Linked DNA regions of Pelodiscus sinensis. The protein of the gene in region 1 interacts with the protein of each later gene in a biochemical or structural test. Links are inferred from orthologs where the notes say so. Each region holds a gene or a part of one and is shown in the gene's direction. Other genes may lie near its edges.

Region 1 (3,745 bases):
ATGAAACTACCTGAACCAGCACACGATGCACTCAGTATCATAAAGGGTATTGCAGTGGATTGCACCTGTATTATAATTAGTGGCTGTGATGTGGTCTTCAGGCCCCCAGCAACTTCCTAGCTCAGCCAGCGGATGATACAATTTGCTTGCTGCATAAAGGCCAATTGAGATAGGGTCCCACTAGGTTAGGCTCTGTGCAAACAGTAGATATCCTGCAGAGTTTCTGCTCTAAATAAAACAAAATCAGAGTGGATGGAGGAAGAAATACAATAAGCAAAGTGAACTATGTGAGACCAGCAAATACCAGTTCCATTAACAGTTTTTCTTTTGGATGGGTTTAGCCAGGAGCAGGTCAGCTGAATGGGAAAGGAAGCAAGAGTGGGGGCAGCAGAGAAGAGGTGTAGGTGTGAAGTAAAGCTAAGATGAAGAAACGGGGATGGAAAGTAATGTTGGAACTAGGGATGTATTATCCTGTTTAATCAGTTAAAGGGGGCCCCTCCCCACCATGGTTGGGCTGGAGTGCCACAGGCAGGAGTTGCTGGCTCCCAGCCTAAGCAAAGCTACAGCTCCTGGTCCTGCATGGGGCTGCTAGCTTTCAGCGGCTGTAGGCGGAGCCGGCAGGTCTGAAGCAGCCCTCCGCTTGAGGAGGCTGCTCCCGGGTACCAATTAACCATTACCCACTCAAGCAGAGAATCTGCTAAAAGCTAAACATCATTAAAGGTTCACCTTAAAAAGCACCTGTTAGTTACAAGTACTCACGGGAAGCTCAGAAATGCAATACTAAACGTCTCAACCTTGAATAACTGTCCCATCTGTTTCTCACGTCAGCTGGAATTGGTACTGGATACCGATTTGAGAGAATGTCAAATGCATGCCTCCCTTCATTGCTTTTAAAAACGGAAGTTGAGCCAATAACAATATTCGTTCATTCACCTCGTCTCTCAATAAGGAACCAACGAGAAGGTATTGATCCGCGTACCAGGCCGCTGGGTCTGCATCATTTGTAGCCTTTCCTCTACAGCCCTGTTTTAGGCAGGGGGAGGGGGAGGATGGGTAATGCACCTGGTCTAGGTACTCTACCAACTCTTCCACCTACCAGTTTCTGATTGGCTATTTTCTATGTTCTTGCTTGTGATTGGCCAGGAAAAGCTGCCGAGGCAGAATTGGTTGGTAGGTGTTTCCTGTAGCCAACGTCAACAATGACAATTCCTGGGGGTCCCCCCTCCTTCTTCAATAGTATCTTGCAACTCCACCTCTGAATGGTAGCTCCCACTCTCGCTCCTTTTCGGGCTCCGCGCTCTCCTGGGATGGTATCTGCCTGCTCCTCCCCCATATTCGTACACTCTCTTAGATTGGACGCTTCCATTGCGCCCCGAAGGGGGAGAGGAAATGGAGGGGATGGATCCAGAATGTGACCGCCCAGTTCACCGCCCTGCCCAGCTTGGATTGGCCAAAGGGTGCGCGAGGTGTGCTGTGATTGGATGGCGGGCGCGGAGCCTCTCCCGCCCGGAGCCCTCCCTCCCGTCCCCGAGCGACAGGCCCCAGCTGTGCCCGGCCGGAGTTTGGCGGAACTAGCCCTGCGGGGAGGCGGACGGGGTGAGTCGGCGGGAGGTGCCCAAGGGCGGATCCGAGGGGGGGTGGGAGCAGCTCGTGGGAGCCTGGCAGTGGGGGGGAGGGGGACTGTTCTGGGGGGGGATAGGAGCAGAGGGGGGATGGGCGTGGGGGGAGGTGCCCTCGGCTGCGGGGAGGGGAGCAGAGGGTCAGAAGGGGGGATCAGTTCCGGGGGGGGACAGCTGGCTGGGGGGGAGGGGTTGTTCACCCCTAAGTTGGGCAGGAGCCCCCCAGAAGAGGATGCTGTGGCAGGGATGGGATTCCAGCTGGAGTGTGTGGAGGGGGGGTCAGGCTCTGCGCAGGATGTGATTGATGTGCCCTTGACGGGGTGTGTATGGTGCATTGGCACAGAAGGATGGCCTGTGCGGGTTGTGCCTCAGAGGGCCTTGAGGAGTGGAGGCTCATGGTACCTGAGGGATTAACTGAAGGCTATAAAGTGGGGGAACTGGGAATTGTACCCACGAAATCCTGGATCTCAGGTCCCTCCTGTAATCACCCTAGAAAGCTCCCTCCTTTATGCAAATGCATCTGCAAGCTTGTGTAGGATAAACGGCATGATTGAGGTGCTGCCCCTGTGTCCAAGTACCGCCTTACAGTTAAAGCAGGTTACATTCCCAGTGCCATTATTAATTCCCTCTGTGACCAAGAAGTCTTGTTTATACTAGGGACATAAGCGACTAGTCGACTACCCAATTAGCCTAGGCTTACTGGATAGTTGACTCACTAGTCACTTCCCCCTCCTCTTGCTGCCTCTGTATCAGAAGCAGCAAAGGGAGGGGGAGCATGAGACAGTGCTGGGGGGAGCTAGTTTAAAAGCCGATTTTCCCCCCTCCCCCGAGCACTAGCTCCGCAGGGGGCAGGGGAGGCAGAGGTGCAGCAGGGCAAACAGCACGAGTGGGGTACTGAAGCAGTCTCCACTCGCACCAGGTCCCGACTGCTGTGCCTCTGCCTTTTAAATGTAGTAAGAGCCTTGGAGCAGCTCTGTCTACCATTAAAAGGCAGAGGTGCAACGGGGATAGCAAGCACTACACTCTCCCCTTATCAGCTACTTGATTAGCTGATTAATCAAAATTAGCATCCCTACTTTGTACTCCACTTAGCTATCTGGAAAGTAAGACCCACCTGCCTCATGGGGGTAAACAAAGATTAGTTGATGTATATTGGAAGCACTTTAAGTTTTGCCACTCAAAAGTCCTAAAATAGAAATGGGCAGCATGGAATCTCCAAATGCATATGCAGAAGAAGGGGCAGCATCCTGTAAGTTGGCTTGGGTTTGGTTTGGGGTTTTTCTGCCTATATGAAAGATCAAAAAGGTTTTAACTTAAGTTTAACATGAATTCACCAAGGGCAAGTCATACTTGACAAACTTGACTGCCTTCTGTGTCCAAGTAACTGGCTCTGTAGGTATGGAGAAGGTGGTGGACGTGATATGCCTTAACTTTAGCAAAACTTTTGATCCAGTCTTCCACGGTATTCTTGCCCGCAAGTTAAAGAAGTATGGCTTGGATAAATGGACTGTAAGGTGGATAGAAAGCTGGCTAGATTGTCGAGCTGTTGATTACTACCCGTTGAGCCCAATATCTGTTTGGTGGTTGGTATGAAGCAAAGTGCCCAAAGTCCTTGGGTTGATTTTGTTCAACTTTTTTATTAATGACCTGGATAAGGGGATGGATTGCCGTAAGCTAGGGGGAGAGGTAGATACATTGGAGGGTAGGAATGGGGTCCAGAGTGATCTAGACAAATTGGAGGATTGGGCCAAAAAATCTAATGAGGTTCATCAAGGACAAGTGCAGAGTTCTGTACTTCGGAAGGAAGAATCCCAAGCACTGTTACAGGCTGGGGACCAACTGGCTAATAGGGATGTTAAAATGCATTTATCTTTGTAAACATTTGTTACCACTGAATTTTTCATGTTTACATATGAGGGGGGAGGTGGCTCCCTCAGAGCTGCCCCCCTCAGAGGCAGCAGTGTGGGGCATGGGGAACAGCTAGGAGTCAGTGCTTGCGAGGAGCCAGCAGGGCTCAGGAAGGGACAGGCAGCTCTGTGGGAGTTGGTGTTCATGGGGAGCCAGCTTAAAAGCTGACTCCCTGTGAGCACCAGCTTCTGCCTGTCCCCGCTTTCAGTGTTGCTGCC
Region 2 (3,745 bases), on another chromosome or scaffold:
GCAGCCTTGGACAGGCTGTGCCTCTATTAATCAGATCCATGTTCCTCCTGGATTTTTACCCATGGGCCTTAGCAGTTTATTTGGCAGAGCCACGGTAGTTTATACAGGCAGAAGTGCACAGATGTGGTTGCCTCATCTCAAAAGAGATATCTTGGCATTGGAAAAGGTTCAGTAAAAGGCAATAAAACTGATTAGGGGGTTGGAACGGGTGCCATATGAAGAGAGTTTAAAAACACTGGGCTTTTTCACCTTAGAAAAGAGTAGACTAAGGGGGGGGGATGTGCTAGAGGTCTATAAAATCATAATTGGTGTCGAGAAAGTGACTAAGGAAAAGTTATTTACTTGTTCCCATTAACGTAAGAACTAGGGGTCACACAATGAAATGAATAGGTCGCAAGTTTACAGCAAAGAAAAGGAAGTCTTTCTTCACGCAGTGCACAGTCAACCTGTGGAACTCCTTGCCAGAGGATGTTGTGAAGACCTGGACTTTAACAGGGTTCAAAAAAGAGCTAGATAGATTCACGGAGGTTAGGTGCATCAATGGGTATTAGCCAGGAGGGGTAGGAACGGTGTCCCTGACCTCTGTTTGTCAGAGGCTGGAAATGGCTGACAGGAGGGGGATCACTTGATGATTGCCTGTTTTGTTCACTCCCTCTGGGGCACCTGGCTGGAGAACGGCCCTGCTGCCTTTGAGCACCGACCTCAGGGGCTCGTTCCAGCCCGGAGGAATTCCGGCCTCCCGGCCCAGCCTGCAGCATTGGGGTGTCCCCTTGGAGAACGGCCCTGCTGCCTTTTGAGCACCGACCTCAGCAGCTCATTCTAGCCCGGAGGAATTCCGGCCTCCCGGCCCGGCCTGCAGCATTGGGGTGTCCCCTTGGAGGACGGATTTGCCCGGCAGGCGGGCTTAACTTAAGAAATGCTTCTCTGTTCTCATAGGCTCCGTCTAGTAGGCTGCCAAGGCCCTAGGCGGGCGTGTCGACAGAACAGGTCCCTGGCCCCAAGCAGGACAGGCGAGCAGAGGTGGGCCAGCCGGAAACGTACAAGCTGCCCATGCCGACTGTGTATGAAGCTGGGAAGCAGGTGAGCTGGAGATCTGGCCCCTTGCGGGACAGGAGATGAACTGACTGCGGTAAAGGACAACCCCTAGGCTGGCCGGCCGGGGGAGAGCCTTAAAGAAATTCCAGTGAGCCACCAAGCCCCTGCAACCGCCCGAAGCTCAGTATTCTGCGCAGCCAGACCCCTGTCTGTGCTCTGCAATTCTGGGGCCAGAAGCAGCCCATGGCCTCTCCCCACCCCTTTGGAGGCAGAGGGCGAGATGGTTCCCCTCCTGCCCAGGCTGTTGCCTGGTAGTGTCTCTAACCGCCACGCGTGGGGCTGGCCACCAGTGCACAGTGCGTGGGGGGATCTGGGTTCAAGGGAATGTGGGAGGGAATTGAGCTGGGGGGGAGGGGCAGCACACAGCCCTGCTGGCTCCTTTACCCTCTCCATGCTCTTCCCTTCCAGTACACGGGACCTGAGTCCACGGAGAGACCCCTTTCGATGTCCCAGCATGAGACCTCTCCGGCGACGGTGCAACCCGCTGGCAACCACCGCCCCAATGCCTGCTGCTTTTGCTGGTGCTGCTGCTGCAGCTGCTCGTGGTACGTCCGGCGCGTAAAGAGACCCCTGCCCCTCTCTCTCCTCCCTCCCGTGTCTCCGGGTTGGGGAGAGGGGCCGCCCTGCTGCCGTTGAATCCCCGGGTGCGTTGTGCTCCAAAGTCTTCCCCCCTCAGCTCCCTGGTGCTCAGAAGCCTGGTGCATCACTCGTGGGCTGGGACGGGGAGGGAGTTTAGCGGCAACAGAGGAGCGTAAGGCTCTAGCCTGGGTCAAGCTCCTTTGTCCTTTGCTGAGATTGAAAGATCTTGGGGGCAGGGCCCACCTTGTGGCCTGTGTCTGTGCCGGGCGGCCCGGGCCCATGCCATCCCGGAGCCGTGCCCGTTTCTGGAAAGCTCCGGCGCTGGGCGTGCTCACCCTCCTGAGGAGATGCCTGCAGGCTCGTCCGCCGGCATGTTACATTTATCTAGGCTGCCGAAAACGCCAGTCGGAGCTTGTTGAGCGTGTGTGGGAAGGACCTCCCCCGCCCGCCAGGTTTGGAGCGTCCAGGCCGCCTGTGTGCTTGGTTTACAGTCGACGGCTAATTGGCGCAGTGTTTAAAAACTGACTGTAAACACCATTTTGAGCAGATGGCCCAGTGTTTGTGCTGCGGGTTGTTCAGAGCCTCGTGGAGTGCACTGTGCGTGCGCGTTTTCACTCTCCTCCACCCAAGGAGTTTGGAGATTTGAAACTTGGCAAATGGGCCGAGTTTTCTGAAACGGACGGTGTGTGAAGCCACTTGTCGACGGGCCGATCCTTGAGGCAGGGCCTGTTCAATTGCCTCTTTAGAAACGCGTTCTGTCCGCAATCCACTGGGCTCTGCTCCTGGACTGCACAGCATGGACACACAATGAGTGATGCTTCTGGGGAAAAATCTAGTGGCCAGTTCAGGGGGACGCAGAAATCCCATGCAAGTCCGAAGCGTCTCGGTCCCCTAGCTCTGATGCCCGTAATCAAATGGCTCCAAAATAGCCACAATCGCCTCCTGATCCAGAGGGGAGGGGGAGCCCCTGCCTGTCTACTGTCAGAACAGATTTGTGAGCTGGTGTGTGTGCTTCTCTCGTGCTGGTCACTAAATCCCCAGATCTGAAGTTCTGTGTCCAGCAGGTGCGGGGGCTGCTTGTCTGGTTACTCCTGTGTCTGTACCCAACCCGCTCAGCATTAGGATGCCCAACGGAAGTTGTTTAGCATGGTCAAGGGGGAAAAAATGACCCTTGCTGGTTAGGACCCATCACTCTCTATGGGTATGTCTACACTACCACCCTAGTTCGAACTAGCGGGGTAATGTAGGCAACCGGAGTTGCAAATGAAGCCCAGGATTTGAATTTCCCGGGCTTCATTTGCATCTCGCCGGGTGCCGCCATTTTTAAATGACCGCTAGTGCGGACTCTGTGCCGCGCAGCTACACGCGACACGGACTAGGTAGTTCGGACTAGGCTTCCTACTGGGGAGGAGCGGCTGTGACCAGCCTCCTGCACAGGGGAGTTCCACAAGTACCCTCTGCCACACCCTGTTTGGCATGGGAAGTGGGTGCGTGCAAATGTGCCCTTTGCTGTACGGTTGTCCCCTGTGGCAAGCTCGCCCCTCACCGTGTACCCTGCCCATCTCTGCTGGGCCTCTGGGTGGGATTCGTAGAGCCCGTTGAGCTCACAGCCCTGGCTGCCTTTGGGCTGTAGCTGAGCTCCTGGTGCTGCCCACTTTCTGCCTGGCTCATCGGAGCAACCTTGTCCCTGCTGTGAGATCAGTGGAGCTGACGGCAAATTCCAGGGAAGAGTCTGTCCGGCTGCAGTCTTGGAGTGTCTTGGTGGTGCAAGATGCTAAGTAAACTTACAACCAGTGTACCAGCCCCTCCCTGTACAGACAGGCATGAGGTGCCCAGGTACTGTCTTCCCTCCAGGTCTCCCTGTCTGATGATCCCTGGACTGTGCTCAGGGAAGGTGTGGGGGGGCCCTCTGCACAGCTGTGGCAGCGGTGTGGGGGAGAAGGAAGTACTCCAGCAAAGCCACCTTCCACACAAGGGAGAGTCCACAGATCCATCGTCTCTCCCAGCTGTGTTGCTTCTTGCCAACACAAACCAGGTCTGTGTTCCCTGTAAGCCGGGCGTTTGTGTAGCC
Region 3 (3,745 bases), on another chromosome or scaffold:
AAGAATTAAGTAATGTTACAGAACTGCTTGTTCAACTCTGCAAACAACCCCTGCAGTTTAATATAAACTTTATACAGTAAATGGTAAACTTTATGCAACTAATATAAGGAGTGTGTAGAGGCGGGGCAATTGCAATGAAGAGGACAAATCATGTTGTCAGATAAACTAATCTCTCCCCCCTCTGATCCCACGATTTACACAGCAATCAGTTGTTCCTGAAATGCTCGAGTATGTTGTATTTCATACAGGAGGAGAACTTGAGAGGGGGAGTTAAGTGAAGTTCATCACCTAACAAAGTTTTATCGTGATAAATTTCTTTAAAATAACTGTCTAACTAAAGACCTCACTACACTAAGGCATGTTCAGTTACACGATTAACTTTCTCAGCAGTTTAACAGAATTATAAATTCCGTTAGTTTAACAATTCTGTGAGAGACTCCCCGTACTGCCTTCACACCACCATCTTCTGATGAGTCCCCGAAATACTTAAGCCGATTCCATAGGGAGTAATCTCTGAAAAATGCAAACACGCCCCGTTTCCCCCCTCGCGAATAATCTAGTTTTCTACTATAGTCTTATATCTAATTCCTGAAATGGCAGCAATAGCTGAACCGTGGCTGGGTATTTCACCGGTGATTTATTGTGTATCTGTGACACAAAGGCCCCCTTGGCAAAGCCAGGCCCGTCACAATACTGTTGACAAATGAGCAGATATTCAGGCTGCCCTTAGCAATACTTTCCCCCGCGGCCGCAACGCTCTCTGCAAGTGGTTTTTCTCTCCCGGGAAACCCAGGACAGGCTCGGGTGGAGAAACAAGATTCATTCTGGGCTTGTCAAGGCTTCAACCCCGTTTTAGAGGCGAGTGAGTGCGTCTCCCTAGGGACTGATAGGCACAAATCAGCGTTTTCAACTTTACCCCAATGTCTGAATGTCACGTCTTGGTGTCAAGCCTTTCCAGGGCTCCTTCGCCAAACTCCTTTTCTTTGGCTACAGTGTTTGTCGGTTGGGACTCGGGCGTCAAACGCGGGGTCCTGTTTGCTATTCGAACTCACCCCGGATCTGGCCAAAGCGCGTTACAAGGCAGCGCCAGGGCGATGTGAGAAGTCATTGGAGTGCAGTGGTGTGAAAGCATCCCTCCTACCCTGCACAGTGCGCGCGGAAGGAGGGGCAGAGGCAGCCGGCTGTAGGGCCTGGAGCGGTGCCTGATTCCCTCATGCTAGTTCCGGGGCCGCTGGGTATAAAGAGCTTTATGCAATGTCTGGAGGGTGGGAGTTTATAGGAAACGCGATGTCTCAGCTGGCGAACACGCCTTTCCTCTGCAACTAGCCGGATAAGAGAAAGACACCAGGCGGCTGGGCTGGTGCGGGGCCGAGCAGACTTCTGAGCCCAGCAGCCAGCTCCCGAGGGAGCTGCAGCATCCCCGCCCCGATGGGCTCTCGTCGCGGGATGGACGGAGCAGCGGCCTCTTGCAAAGTGCTCATCTTACTCACTGCGTGCATCATGCAGGCTAGTGGCCAGGGTAAGCCCCCTATTGCAGCCTGGTCCGGGGGGCACTCGGGGCTCTGGAAAGGGGCACGAGGGAGCTGCCTGCCTTGGCTTCCCCGGGGCTAGAGCCGCAGGCGGCGCCTTCCCCGAAGCTCGCTAGTGGCAAGTAGAGCGGGGCGCTGCAAGAAGCGAGCCCAGCGGTTTCTGTGACAGCTCCTCCGCGGGCTGCTTTCGGCCTTTGCTTCCCTCGCCGTGGCTCTTCGCTCGCCGAAGGGCCGCGAGTCCCGCGGGGAGCAGCCGCTGAGCTGTGAGACGTTCAGGGGTGCAAAGCCCCGGGAAGGGGGGGGGCTCTCATTTTATGGAGGAGATGCAATGGGGCCGGGCACAAGGAGGGCAAGAACACCGCTGCGCCCTGGCGCTTGCTTGCTGCTGAAACCTGCCCCTTGGTCCCGGAGAGCCGCTCTCAAGAGCTGCGTCTGGCGGTGCAGCCGGGCCCCTCCAGCGCGCGTGGTTTTGCAGCCCAACGTGAGCAGGCTGAGCTGCCCCCACCCCCACCCCCACCCCCGTTTCCAAGCTCAGGGTTTGCAGCCAGCCCCCGGGTGAAGCTGCACCTTGGTGCGCTCCATGAGCTCGCCGCGGGCTCGGCTGGTGTGATTTGCACGGCTCGGGCATGTGTAGCGTGGCCGCGTCCCGGGCCTGTGCAACATGCGGGACCTGAGCTAAAGCAACCGATGCTTAGTGTGGAGCACAATGAGCCGCCCTCCGTCTCGGGCACAGATTGAAGTTGGGAGAGAGAGAGAGAGAGAACTTTTTCTCTGGGCTTTGCTGTTGCTAGGTTACAGTGGAGAGCATGTGACTGGCAGAGCAGGCTGAGAGCGCGCGATAGGCTGCGCCGCCGCCTACTCTGGTACTAATCTGGCGGCTGGGGATGGAGGAGTCCTATCTCCACTGGCTCCCCCCCCCCCCCCCCCGCAACTGCAGCCCGGCTCTTCCTGCCTCTCCCCTGCCCGCTCCCACACACGGTAATTGCCCCGCAATGAAAACCAAACCCCTTATTGTTCCAGCGGGAGGAGATGGAGTGAATTTCCTGGGCCACGTCTATTGGCCGGGTGGCCCCACTGTTTTATGTGTGTGCCTTAGATGGATGTATTCAAATTGTTAATCTGCTTTCTTTGCTCAACTCTTAGGGTAAGCTTCTTAGAAGGAATGAAGTAAGTAATTATACAGCAACTGCTGCTAACAGCTCCCTTTGCTGAGCAGGGAAGTAGTTAGGAGATAGCTAATGTACAACAGGAGCATTGCAAAAGCTCCAGCCAAAGAGGTCACACTGGGTAGAGAGCTAATTCCTTTGCACTCTTATTTACACTCATACAGCTGAAGATACAGTCATGACTTAAATGCTTATTGTCTTGTTCTGCAGTTGCACCTAGAAAATTTAGGACACATGTACCATAGATGTGACTGTGAAATCATCAGTTATTTGGCAAAGTTAGGGGGAAATTATGAATTGGCACCCAAAAGCAGGGCAGGCATTAATTTTTCTGTACTGGATGTAAGAATTATCAGCATAATTATGCTAATAAAATGATCTAATGTTAGCCATGGAGTCTTTGGACTAATACCTGTGTTTAAACCTGTGAACAAAATAGCATTGTGAACTCTTGGGATTCTTAACCCAAGTCGCATGATATTTGGTGTTTTTCTTAAAACTCTAGTTCTTGGAATCCTGTGATTATGTGAGGATTTCCGCTGTCACTTAAAAAAAAATTAAGTGATCGTAGACAGTGCCAGACTGAGCCATAGTTGCACCCCAGGCAGCAGGCGCGCGGCGCATGTGCAGCCCAGCCTCGGGCGCACAGCACATGGGCGGCCTCACCCCTGGGCACTTGGTGCCCCTTACCACTTCAATCAGCCGCCCCCCATAGGATGGCGCCCTGGACAGCTGCCCCTTAATCTGGCCCTGATTGTAGATCTTATGGATGCTGAGAGAAATTTGAAAATATGACCCAAACATACACTATTGGGTCAAAAATCAGAAGTTCCTACTCAACAAACACCTCCATTATTAATTGTTTAAAAAGTATTTCAAGATTTGAATCATGACTCATGATTTTTGAATACTGGCAATTTGAATTTGGGAGTACTGAATGGAAACTGGATGGTCTCAGAAGCCTAAGAAGACTCAGTATGATCTGAGTACCTATGCCTATTGTAACTTGTGTTGTGCCTTCTCTCTCGACAAATCTTACTCCGTAATGTT

The links.
Region 2: the proteins of GIPC1 (region 1) and RGS19 form a complex in vitro, tested with the Homo sapiens proteins (2 studies listed by BioGRID). The link is inferred for Pelodiscus sinensis from reciprocal best matches to the Homo sapiens genes GIPC1 and RGS19.
Region 3: the proteins of GIPC1 (region 1) and LRP2 form a complex in vitro, tested with the Homo sapiens proteins (2 studies listed by BioGRID). The link is inferred for Pelodiscus sinensis from reciprocal best matches to the Homo sapiens genes GIPC1 and LRP2.

What each region holds. Positions count from the first base shown.
Region 1 is NC_134729.1:10,604,621-10,608,365, reverse strand, and holds the start of GIPC1 (PDZ domain-containing protein GIPC1), read left to right. Parts: upstream 1-1,445; 5' UTR 1,446-1,596; intron 1,597-3,745. UniProt on the Homo sapiens protein: May be involved in G protein-linked signaling.
Region 2 is NC_134728.1:4,677,715-4,681,459, reverse strand, and holds the start of RGS19 (regulator of G-protein signaling 19), read left to right. Parts: upstream 1-939; 5' UTR 940-1,050; coding exon 1,051-1,080; intron 1,081-1,503; coding exon 1,504-1,640; intron 1,641-3,745. UniProt on the Homo sapiens protein: Inhibits signal transduction by increasing the GTPase activity of G protein alpha subunits thereby driving them into their inactive GDP-bound form. Binds to G-alpha subfamily 1 members, with the order G(i)a3 > G(i)a1 > G(o)a >> G(z)a/G(i)a2.
Region 3 is NC_134717.1:39,567,901-39,571,645, reverse strand, and holds the start of LRP2 (low-density lipoprotein receptor-related protein 2), read left to right. Parts: upstream 1-1,290; 5' UTR 1,291-1,428; coding exon 1,429-1,519; intron 1,520-3,745. UniProt on the Homo sapiens protein: Multiligand endocytic receptor. Acts together with CUBN to mediate endocytosis of high-density lipoproteins. Mediates receptor-mediated uptake of polybasic drugs such as aprotinin, aminoglycosides and polymyxin B.